3 linked regions of the Callithrix jacchus genome follow. The protein of the gene in region 3 binds, or shares a complex with, the protein of the main gene of each other region. Links are inferred from orthologs where the notes say so. Each region holds a gene or a part of one and is shown on either strand. Other genes may lie near its edges. The genes, in order: DROSHA, ERH and DGCR8.

Region 1 (3,647 bases), on a different chromosome or scaffold from region 3:
CTTGAAAAGAGAGTCCAAAATGTGCTGTCTTTCCTTGTATAAATGAAAATGCACTACTGGACCCTTCTGGTTTGGTTGCCATGCCAAATGGAAAATGACTGTGCCTGGGCCCCTGAGGTTCATTAAGAAATACACACGTGTGGCTTACCTGCTCCGCTCGTAGCTGCGGTGGCGAGACGGCGTTCTCCCTCGGTCATAGTCAGATCTGTAGCGGCTGTCTTGTCTTCTCCTGTCAGGACTGCGGCCTCGCTCCCGGCGATCCAGGGACCGATGCCTCTCACCTCGCCCATGACTATGATCTCGGTGCCTGTGATCATCGTAGTGTTTCAGCCTTTCTGGGGACCTTCTCTCACTGGGAGCCTTTGGAAGTGGGTATGGAGGGAGGTGTCTGAAATGAGGACTATTGCTGTTGTTAGCACTGGGCAGGAAGGAACTAGGGTTGTTCTGGAAACTATTAAAACTGGGAGGTGGGAAGTTGTGATGAGAATAGCCTGGGGGGTACTGGTAATTAACCTGCTGCGGCATGACCGGAGGGGGCGGAGGATGAGGCATGGAAGGAGGGGGCATCATGAAGGGGAAAGTGCCTTGTCCAGGAGGTGCCCCAGGGACTGGGGGGTTATTAGGACAGGGCATTGGTGGTGGCATGGGAGGAAAGCAAGGAGGAACTGGGAAGGGGTGCCTCATCTGGTGGTTGGGGAAAGGGGGCCTGATTGGGCAGGGGGGAAGAGGGCCTTGTGCTGACGGAGGCATAGGTGGGGGGAAGGGTACAAAGTCCGGTCGTGGAGGCAAAAAATTGGGGGCTGGAGAGTTTGAGAAAGTGGTGGAAGGGGCACTTGGAGGTTCATATTGATATTGCACAGGAGGCTGCTGAGGGTGAAGCAGCCTCAGATTCTGGGGCCTAAAGGATGGTGCTGAGGGTCTGGCTCCATGTCCTCCTCGTCCTCGGGGACATCCTCGTCCTGGGTGGAATGACATTCTGTGACTTCATGGTGGAAAAAAAAAAAAAAGGAAGTTTTTTTTTTTAATCCTCACTGTGTTAACAGCATTTCATAAATGCCTGACCATCTTCATGAGCAACTCAAAGACTCCCTAGTGAAGGCACTGGAATATTCCATCCATTCAATACTGGGTTCCTGCTAACATCTGAAACCCTTTAAGGTCAATAAACTCCTCTTCCCCTTTCTTGACCACCCAACCCACTGCCATGCTTAGTCCCTGGAACAACCATTCCTGAAAGCTGCTCCACTTCCAAAATGAGCAATTCAACATCCCATTATTCAACCATTTGCTATCATGCCTTTGCTCAAGTTGCCCTCTGATCTTGACCTCACCATAGGCGGTCCCAAGCACATCTGCACCAGCATCTTCCCATCTTCACCTCCCTCTCCATTCAGCACAGACTCCACTGCCCAGCATCGGCATCTCCATGATTCATTTTTAATACCCTACACTCCTCTGCCCTGCTCTACTTCAGTCACAAGAAGCTGGCAATACCCCAGCCCTCAAAGAACCCAATAATTTGCTTTCTGGAGGCTGACCAGAAAGTAGTACTATAGAAAAATACCTGACTGGGCAGGGTGGTGGCCAAAGAAATTCATGATCACTGGCTTCTGCCAACCCATTCCTCTGGCATGGTGAACTACCCACCATAACTACTGATAACATTCAGGACCCTGCCCCATATCCCATTCTCTCTTCACAGTCAACACATAACTAGTCTCCTACCAAACAGAAACACAAAAACCATCAGAAAAGAACTCCTTCAGCTTCTCCTACCATTTCTACAATGGATCCCATTCCAGCCTCTCCCAATTCCCTCCTCCTGACAAAGCCTATCCTGCCACAAGTGCTCTGGATCCCATCTCCAAATGCATATTTGGGATTACCACCCTCCCACTGCAATCTTCCACCTCTCCCCACCACCAGACCCTTCACATCAGCATTTGAAAGTGCTTGGGTTTACTCCAGCATAAAGTACTGTCCTTGGTCTCCAGGTTTCCCTTGTCTTTGCCCCTTCTGTGTCCTCCCCTTCACAGTCAAATGACCAGAAAAAGTGGCTGCAGACTGAATGTTTCTGTCCACCCGAAAATTCATGCTGAGGAAACCCTAATACCCTACGGGTGTCCACCCCAAAATTCATGCCGAGAAAACCCTAACGCCCAGTGTGATGCTATATAGAAGTGGGAAATCTGAGATGCAACTATGATGCGATTAGTACCCTTACAGAGAGAGGAAGAGAAAAGAAATCCCCGCCACCACCCCTTGCCAAGTGAGACTACAACAAGAAGGCAGCCACCTACAAGGCAGGAAGAGGGCGTGCATCCGAAACCTGGCTGTGCGGGCACCCTGATCTTGGACTGCCAGCCTCCAGAACTGTGAGAAATAAGTGTTTACTGCTTAAGTTACCCAGTCCATGGCATTTAGTCATGGCAGCCCAAGCTAAGACAAAAGCGTATACACTTCCAACTCACTCTAATCCAACTTCAGCTTCTGCCACCAATCCAATGAGTGTCATGATCAGTGTTCACCTCGTCTTGAAAACCAAAGGTCATTTTCAATCAACTTGCTTGATCTCTGTTGGATCAGTCCAGTTTCCTCCCCGCTTGCCTCTCCAGCCCCCACCCCCATGGATGCATTTCTTGGCTTCCTGACATAACACCCTCACTGTGGCTTTCCTACATCTCTGGCTGTTCCTCATGCCAGCTTCTCCTCTGCTAGGGGGCCTTTAACAGTCTGGTATTCTTCAGGGGTCTAGCCCAGGTGCTCTGCTCGCTCTCTCTTCCAAAGTGACACTACCTACCCACATTGCTAGAATTACCACCAATCTGTCAGTAACTCCCAAAGTTACATCTTTAGCCCCCAACTTCTGAGCTCCAGACCCTCACTACTAATTGCCAACCTGATCTCTCTCCTTGAGTGTCTCACTGACTCTGCAAATTCAACATAACATATGCTAAAACAAATTAATTACCTTTCCCTCCAAGACAAACATTTGCTCTTTTCCTAGTATTTCCTATTTCAATAAATGACACCATTAATGGTTCTTAAGACATATACCAGGGAATCAATCACCTGACTTGTCCTCCCTCACCCCCCATCCTTAGCTAAAATTTTATTTTAAAATTGCTATCACTTATATGGCAACTATCCCTTAATAAAAAATAAACAAAAATTCCTATTGTTTCTGCTTCATAAATACTTCCTGAATTAATCTACTTCACATCATCATCTCTTGCATAACTATTACAATAATATCCTTGCTGGCCTTTCTACAACCCTGTCACTGCCCCCAACGATTCGTTAGGTTCCTTGTTCTCACAACACTCTCTGTTGCTTCTTAGCAGGTCCTACAATAATTACAATCCACCTACTAAGGACCTAATTCCACCTTTAATGTCTACTGCACCTCAGAACTGTAAGGGCTATCAAGGCAGGCTCTGGGATTTCCATTAACAGTTCTGGTCTGGCTTTCTAGCCCTGTGCATGGCCCTCTGTTGTACTGTGCCCACTGCTGAAAGAACGGGCATATTATCCTGTCTCCCCAAGTATCTAAATCCTTTCCACCCTCTATAGGCCAGCACCAATGTTTGTTCCTCTCTCTGTTCTCCTAACTACTGCCATTCCCATCACAACACTCACCATGTACT
Region 2 (3,647 bases), on a different chromosome or scaffold from region 3:
AATTAGCATCCTTTCTGGATACTAACTATATCAATTAGCAAAGTTCTTTTTTTTCTGTGCCTTTGGCTTTATATTGCCAATATCTTATTTCTGTAAGAGAAATATTAATTACTAAACATTATGCAAATGCAAAGATCAGTGTCAGGCATGTGTTAGCTCCCAATACCATAAATCACCTCAAACAGACAGAAAAACATTAAAAAACACAAGATAACAGACATGTTTGCTAATACTTACACCAGGCAGCTGAGGTCTGCCAGATCATCAATGAAATCAAACAACTGACTGATGTCATATGTGATAGAAGGACTGTTGGGATTCATTCTTTTCAGATGTTCTTCATACATTTTACAAACGCCTAAGGAAGGATAGGACAAAAACCAAAATCTTACAATCACATAAACTTCTAGATATGAGTAGTGCTATATGTCGATATCATATTTACTTTAATAAAGTTGGGCTGGGGAAAAGATGGTAGATTGATGGCTTTTGATTATTGCCACTAGCAAATAGTTTTTTATAAATTCAGCCGGCCGGGTGCAGTAGCTTATGCCTGTAATCTCAGCACTTTGGAAGGCTGAGCAGGAGGATCACTTGAGCCTAGCAGTTTAAGACCAGCCTGCCTGGGCAACATAGAGAGACCTCATGTCTACAAAAATTTAAAACTCAGCCAGGCATGATGGCATGTGCCTGTGGTCCCAGCTACTTGGGAAGCTGAGGTGGGAGGATCACTTGAGCCCTGGAGGTCAAGGCTGCAGTAAGCCATGTCCGCATCACTGCACTCCAGTCTTCACCACAATGGTGGTGTAACTATTTTGTGTCTTAATAATAAAATGATTACTTCAAACCATTGGAGCTAAGGGTCAGTAATTCTTTCTGAAGCCAAAAAAAAAAAAAAAAAAAAACCACATTAGAAATTGGCAACAAAGAAAGAGATTATTCTAATGTGGTTATTTAATCATTCTATTGTAGCAATGTGGTAATTTAAGTCCAAGTAATCCTGGACTATGGATGCAGACAGACTTGAGTTCCAGCTCTGCTTCTGTCAAACCGTGGACAAATGACTCCATTCCCTAAACCACACCTGTCAAACAGAGTTAAGAGTGCCTCTTCATAGAATTGTGAGGTTTATTTGAAATAATGCACATAAAGCATCAGCACACAAACAAGCATGTAAGTACTCAAAATAATAAAAAAGATGAGCAGAATCATTAATAGCAAGCCCACATTACTAACTATAATTATCTATAGAGTACATTATCTATTAAGTTTTTATTCAATGATATTCTCCTTTCTTATTCCCACAAAAGGAGAATATATCTTTTCAGTCTATCCCCGCTGTCAACTATTTAAGACTACCACAATGAATGGATAAGTGACATAAATGCTAGTTATCTAGCAAATACACGTCCTATACTGTGTACAGTACAAAGGCCCTTTATTAGCTCCAAATTAACCTTTTAAATTTCCTAATAAAAATACTATTCAACCACAGAACTATCAAACAACTATCTTAGTGTTTTTGATCGCTACTGGCATACTACACTGTGATCACAGAATATCAAACATGAGTTAATAAATGGAAAGAAAAAACTAGGAAAATAAATTCACATGTCTTAAAAGGAATTGACCCATAGTTAGCATCATACTTTTTTTTTTTAAGACGGAATTTCCACTCTTGTCACCCAGGCTGGAGTGCAGTGGTGCAATCTTGGCTCACTGCAGCCTCTGCCTCCCGGGTTCAAGCGACTCTCCTGCCTCAGCCTCCCGAATAGCTGGGATCACAGGCGTGTGCCACCATGCCTAGCTGATTTTTGTATTTTTAGTAGAGAGAGGGTTTCACCATGTTGGCCAGTCTGGTCTCTAAGTCCTGACTGCAGGTAATCTACCTGCCTCAGCCTCCCAAAGTGCTGGGATTACAGGCGTGAGCCACTGCGCCTGGCCTCCATCACACTTAATGGTTAAAGACTGGATGCTTTACTGCTAAGATTAGGAAGAATCCTAAAATATTTACTGTTGCTACTTGTATTCAACGTTGTAATAGAAGTTCTAGCCGGGCAATTAGGCAAGAAAAAGAGAAAACAGGACTTTAGATTGGAAGAAGTACAGCTATCACTATTTGCAGATAATCTACATTATCTTGTAGATAGAAAATCCCAAGGAAACAATAAGAAACCTATTAGAATTAAAAAATGAGTACGGCAAGGGTGCAGGATATAGGATCAGTGTATGAAAATAAATTCTGTTTCTACACCTTAGCAAATCTGAAAATCAAACTAAGAAAACTTCATTTATAACAGCATAAAAAAGAATAAAGTTCTTAGAAATAAATGTAACATAATAAAAGAAATGCACAACTTGTACATGCTACACTATAAAATGTCACGGAACAATTTTTTTTTTTTTTTTAAATCCTGAGACAGGGTCTCATTCTGTCGCCCAGGCTGGAGTGCAGTGGCCTGATTACAGCTCACTGCTGACTTGACCTCTCAAGTTCAAGTGATCTTCCCAAGGAGCTGGGACTACAGTTAGCGCCACCATGCCCAGCTAATTTTTATACTTTTTGTAAAGCAGGGATTTCATCACGTTGCCCAGGCTAGTCTCAAACTCCTGGGCTCAAGCAATCCGCTCACCTTGGCCTCCCACAGTCCTAGGATGACAGGTGTGAACACATTCCCATGTTCATGGGTTGGAAGACCTGATGGCAATACTCCCCTAAATGATCTACAGATTCGATGCAATTCTTATACAAATCCAAGCTGCTTTTGCAAAAACCAACAAGCTAATCCTAAACTTGACACAGAAATGCAGGAGACCCAGGAAACTCAAACTTATCTTGAAGAACAACAACACTGGAGGATTCAAACTTCCTGATTTCAAAACTTACTAGGAAACTACTGTAATCAAGACAATGTGGTACTGGCATAAGGAAAGGTATATAGATCAACGGAATGAGAGTCTAGAAACAAACCCCCACATTGATGGTCAATGCTTTTTGACAAGCATGAGAATTCAAGAAAGAATGTTCTTTTCAACAAATGGCCCTATGACAACTGGATAGCCACATGTGAAAGAATGAAGTTGGACACATCCCTAAAACAGACCAAAGACCTAAAAGTAGGAGCCCAAACTCTAAGCCCCACAGAAAAAAGTAGGCTGGGTGCAGTCGCTCTCACCTGTGGTCAGGAGTTCGAGACCAGCCTGGCAAACATGGTGAAATCCAGTCTCTACTAAAAATATAAAAATCAGCTGGGTGTGGTGGCACACACCTGTAATCCCAGCTACTTGGGAGTCCGAGGCAGGAGAATCACTCGAACCTGGGAGGCGGAGGTTGCAGTGAGCTGTGGTTGCACCACTGCACTCCAGTCTGGGCAACAGAGTGAGACTCCACCTCAAAAAAAAAAAAAAGAAATGGGAGAAAATATTTGTAAACTATGCATCTAGAATCTAAGTCATTCAAACAACTCAACCAGAAAAGAACAAATGGTTCCATTCAAAAGTGGCCAAAGGATATAAGCAGACATTTTTCAAAAGAAGTGGTTAACACATGAAAAAATGATCATCAAACTAATCATCAGAGAAATGCAAATTAAAACCACAATGAGATACCATCTTTCATCAATTAGGATAGCTATTATTAAAAAGTA
Region 3 (3,647 bases):
GTGCACAGAGGCTCGCCGCCGGGCTGGGCAGACGCCACAATGGACATCTTGGGCTTCTTCCGAGTCTCCTCCTGAAAGAACAACAAAGGCCAGGGGTGCCGCTGAGGTGGGCTCAGTAGAGGATTGGGAGGGCACAGGGTGGAGGGGGAGCCCAGAAGACTCAGGAGGCCCTGCAGCCCCAAGGGCACCAGTGCTTGTGATGCCAGGCTGGGAGGAACAGGCAAGGCCTGAGGCAGGCCATGCTGAGTCTGCAGCCTGGAGGCCCCCTAGATTGCCATCAGAGCATGGTGTGTGCAGCCTCCCTGGTAATCGGGACACATACCAAGAAGTGAAGAATTTTGGGTGCAGTTACAATGACAGGCCAGGCCTTCCCACTAGGTGTTTCTCCCTTGCCCAACCTTTGCTTCCCTCAGGCCCAGCCAGGGGCACTGTGTCCTGTGCCTGCTGCCCTCCAGCCCCACAGACCCTCTTCTGACTAGGGGCAGACCAGGCAGTCTCACTGGCTCCAGGAGGCCAAGCCCCACCCCAGGGAGCAGCGAGGGACCTGCTGGCCTGGACGGCAGCAGACACCTTCTAGGACTATCACTCAGGCTAGGGGACTACCACACTTAAGAAAGCTCCCCACAAAGAAGGCCCAGGTGGGCGGGTCATGCTGTGGCCACACAGATGATACCTGAGGACAGAAGACAACACTACCAGCCTGACAGGCCGCTCTTGGAGTGCAGTTCCCAAAGGTGGCTGTAGGAGGCTTCATCAGGACCAAGCCCTACAGATTCTACCTTGGCAGGCACACTGACCTATCTCCAAAAACCCAGTGTAGACATGGGACCCAGGAGGCCCACCAAGGCCGTGACCTTCATGGTCCACCAGGCTGGCCTGCCAGCTCTCTAACAACAGAACCAAAACTGAAGTGACTTGTGAAACTCATACATGTTGAAGCTCAAAACCAAGCCTGTATCTGATTTTGGAAGGAGGATCCAAGCATTTCCAAGGTGTCCGCTCAGGCACAGGTCCTGGGGTCTACTGTCCCTCCACAGCTGCCACAGGAATGGCCATGGCCGGGAAGCCCTCCGCTAGGGTGGCACTCACCCTCTCCTCGGCCAGCCTCTTCATCTCCTCCTGGAGCTTGCTGAGGATGTGCAGGTTGGGCTTGTTCTTCTTAGCATACTGCTGCAGCTCAATCACGCTCTTGTCCGACGTCTCCTGGGAAGCACAGCACCTCACACTCAGACTGCAGGTTATAGCTCCGTGGCCTGCCCCCTGCCCAGCAGCTGTATGCCTGGGACCCTGAAGGCAGGTGCTCCCAGGGCCTGGCAGACACGAAACAGCCAGGAGCTATGGCCACACGACTGCAGGCTGATTGCCCGTCTCAGTGATGCCAGGCCTGCTGACAGCAGCAGAGGACAAGGGGCAGTCCATAGCCACTGGGCTTACTTTCTGCCCTGGGCAGAGCAGGGAGGTCAGGTGCTCATAGTACTCAGAGCCCTCATCAAGGAGAGAAACCAGAGCACGGCTGCAGCCAGGAGGAACAGCACACTGGCAGAACAGCTGCAGCCCATCCCGGCAGCCCCCGGCCCTGAGCTCACTCTCTGCACATTCCGTGACTGCAGAGCAGCATCAGGCTGGCCTCAGCCCCTTCCTATCTCAGGCCAGCCCCGAGGGTGCTACAGTTCCGCGGGATGCCAGCATTCCCCACAGCTGTGGCTGTGCCAGGCTGGGACTTTTCCACTCCTGCTTAGAGAAGTTTCCCACCCTGGGGCCCAAGTAAGGCTTGCCTTCTCTCCCTCCGTCAGAGCCAAGGACTACACACAGCAAAGGCAGAAGCAAACACTACCTACATTTCCAACTTGCTTCCCAAAAATGTCTCTCCTCAAGTTGCTTAACACGCCCTGGTGGCCTGCATAGACGCCCTCACCCTTGGACACAGGGTCTACCCACCACACAGTCCTAGGGCCACCCCACATGCAGCCCCCACCCCTCCACATCTACTTCCCATTCCACTGACCAAGATGGCCAGAACCCAGAGAGCTTCTATAGTCATTTGGGGGAAATGAGGAAGGTGAACACTCACCTCCCCATGTTTCCCTCCACCCCTAAGGAGCGAGCGAGCACTGGAGTACATTGCAAGATCTTGGCCAGAACAGCAGAAACAAGACAGATGGCACACATATGCTCTTTTAGAGCTGGACTGGCACTAGTACCAGGGACAGCTGCCCTGACACACTCGCTCTCCTTCAAGCAGGAAGGACTGGGCCTGGCACCTGAGCCTTTGCACACCTCCAGGCCGGGCCTGCCCAGCGCTGCCTTGCACTTCAGCCATCTCCCTATGACCCACATAGCTGGGCCCAGGTTGCGTTCCCAATCACCCACACTTCACTGACCATTCCCAGCAGACTGGGATGGGAGATGTAGCTGGGATGACCCCACCCCCTGCCCACAAAACCACACAAGTAGCCCAGGAGAAAGGCAGCTGTAAGCAAGAGCAGAGCTGCCCAGCCCTGCCCCTCTGAGCACAGAGCCCCAGTAACACACTCCAGGGTGGCAGTACAGGCTGCCCTGCGACCTGATGAGGGCCAGTTACCTGCTTGACCATCTTGCTGCTCTCACGGCCATACATGCGCAGTAAAGACCCCCAGTTCTTGACATGTGGGTGCAGCAGCTGAAGGATCTTCTGTGAGGCTAACTGCTTTCCAACTCTTTTGTTCTTACCTACACAGAGAAAGAGCAAGCTTGGAGAGAAGGGGTCATCAACACCCAGTGCTCATGGGACACCCCTAGCCCTCCTGATCCACACCCCGATGGCCAGCCAGGGCACATTTTACAGGAACAGACAGCACTCTGCCACTGCTCTAGGCACCTGAGTCTCACAGCACCCAGCTGCCACCTTGAGAGTGGCCCCTAAGAGTCCAGGAGCTGAGAGCACAACCAAAGACACACAGCCAAGAGCTTCACTCCCGCCAAGACACAGGGAGCAGCAGGATTCTGCTGGCTGTCTGAGGAGAAGGGCCTTTCCTCCTGCCACAGGGACAGGGGCTGGCCAAAGAGAGGGGTGACAGGAGGGGAAGGGAGAAGACAGAAAAAGTACAGGCAGGACAGCCACCAGTCCACCTTAGGCTGAATGTGTGGTGGCCAGCACACATAGCTGGACTTAGGGACGATGCCAGAGCAACAGCTGGGAGCAAGCCAGAGAGGCACAGGGCCACACCAGGGGCAACCCGCCTGGCATCACCCCCCGGCAGCCACCAGGCAGCAGGGAAGGAGTCCTTACACCACCCTCGCACTGTGTGCTTGCCACACGCCATGACGTATTCACTCTTCTGGTTTTTCCCAGGAACCACTTCAAACTTGATAGACGTGTCACCCATTCCATGGTTTCTTTAAGAAAAAACAGAAAACAGGTGGCATCCCCTGAGCAGAGCAGCCAGTGGCCTCTGAGGAGGGCTGCTCTGGGAAGCCCTTAAAGGCTGAGGAAAAAAGCAAGCCTCTCCCCAGAATGCTTCTTACCCGGAGGAAATTGTCCACACACCCAATTCAGGCCTGCAGGACTGACTGGTGGCCAGGGCCACAGGGCTGCTGTATACCCAGGGAAACCCGGCCATGCCTCTGCCTTGGGACAAACAGCCACGAGGATACGAGATGCCAAAGAG

What was found.
Region 1: the proteins of DGCR8 (region 3) and DROSHA are in contact, whole or in part, in a crystal structure (PDB 5B16), measured with the Homo sapiens proteins. The link is inferred for Callithrix jacchus from reciprocal best matches to the Homo sapiens genes DGCR8 and DROSHA. Residues at the interface, in NP_073557.3 of Homo sapiens: Asn728, Ile731, Leu732, Lys734, Leu735, Gln736, Glu738, Met739, Lys740, Leu742, Ala743, Arg746, Arg750; in NP_001369437.1 of Homo sapiens: Leu984, Leu987, Phe988, Thr998, Tyr999, Thr1001, Ala1002, Ile1003, Gln1005, His1008, Phe1069, Asp1073, Leu1074, Glu1076, Val1077, Trp1078, Asn1080, Pro1082.
Region 2: the proteins of DGCR8 (region 3) and ERH are in contact, whole or in part, in a crystal structure (PDB 7CNC), measured with the Homo sapiens proteins. The link is inferred for Callithrix jacchus from reciprocal best matches to the Homo sapiens genes DGCR8 and ERH. Residues at the interface, in NP_073557.3 of Homo sapiens: Lys107, Phe108, Ser109, Pro110, Asp111, Leu112, Leu114, Leu115; in NP_004441.1 of Homo sapiens: Val8, Pro10, Thr11, Thr18, Tyr19, Ala20, Glu27, Lys34, Met35, His39, Arg42, Met43, Phe60, Leu64.

The regions. Positions count from the first base shown.
Region 1 is NC_133503.1:173,761,013-173,764,659, reverse strand, and holds part of DROSHA (ribonuclease 3), read right to left. Parts: coding exon 3,640-3,647; intron 983-3,639; coding exon 149-982; intron 1-148. UniProt on the Homo sapiens protein: Ribonuclease III double-stranded (ds) RNA-specific endoribonuclease that is involved in the initial step of microRNA (miRNA) biogenesis.
Region 2 is NC_133509.1:104,385,900-104,389,546, forward strand, and holds part of ERH (enhancer of rudimentary homolog), read right to left. Parts: intron 359-3,647; coding exon 238-358; intron 1-237. UniProt on the Homo sapiens protein: May have a role in the cell cycle.
Region 3 is NC_133502.1:211,882,094-211,885,740, reverse strand, and holds part of DGCR8 (microprocessor complex subunit DGCR8), read right to left. Parts: intron 3,376-3,647; coding exon 3,269-3,375; intron 2,710-3,268; coding exon 2,582-2,709; intron 1,204-2,581; coding exon 1,090-1,203; intron 72-1,089; coding exon 1-71.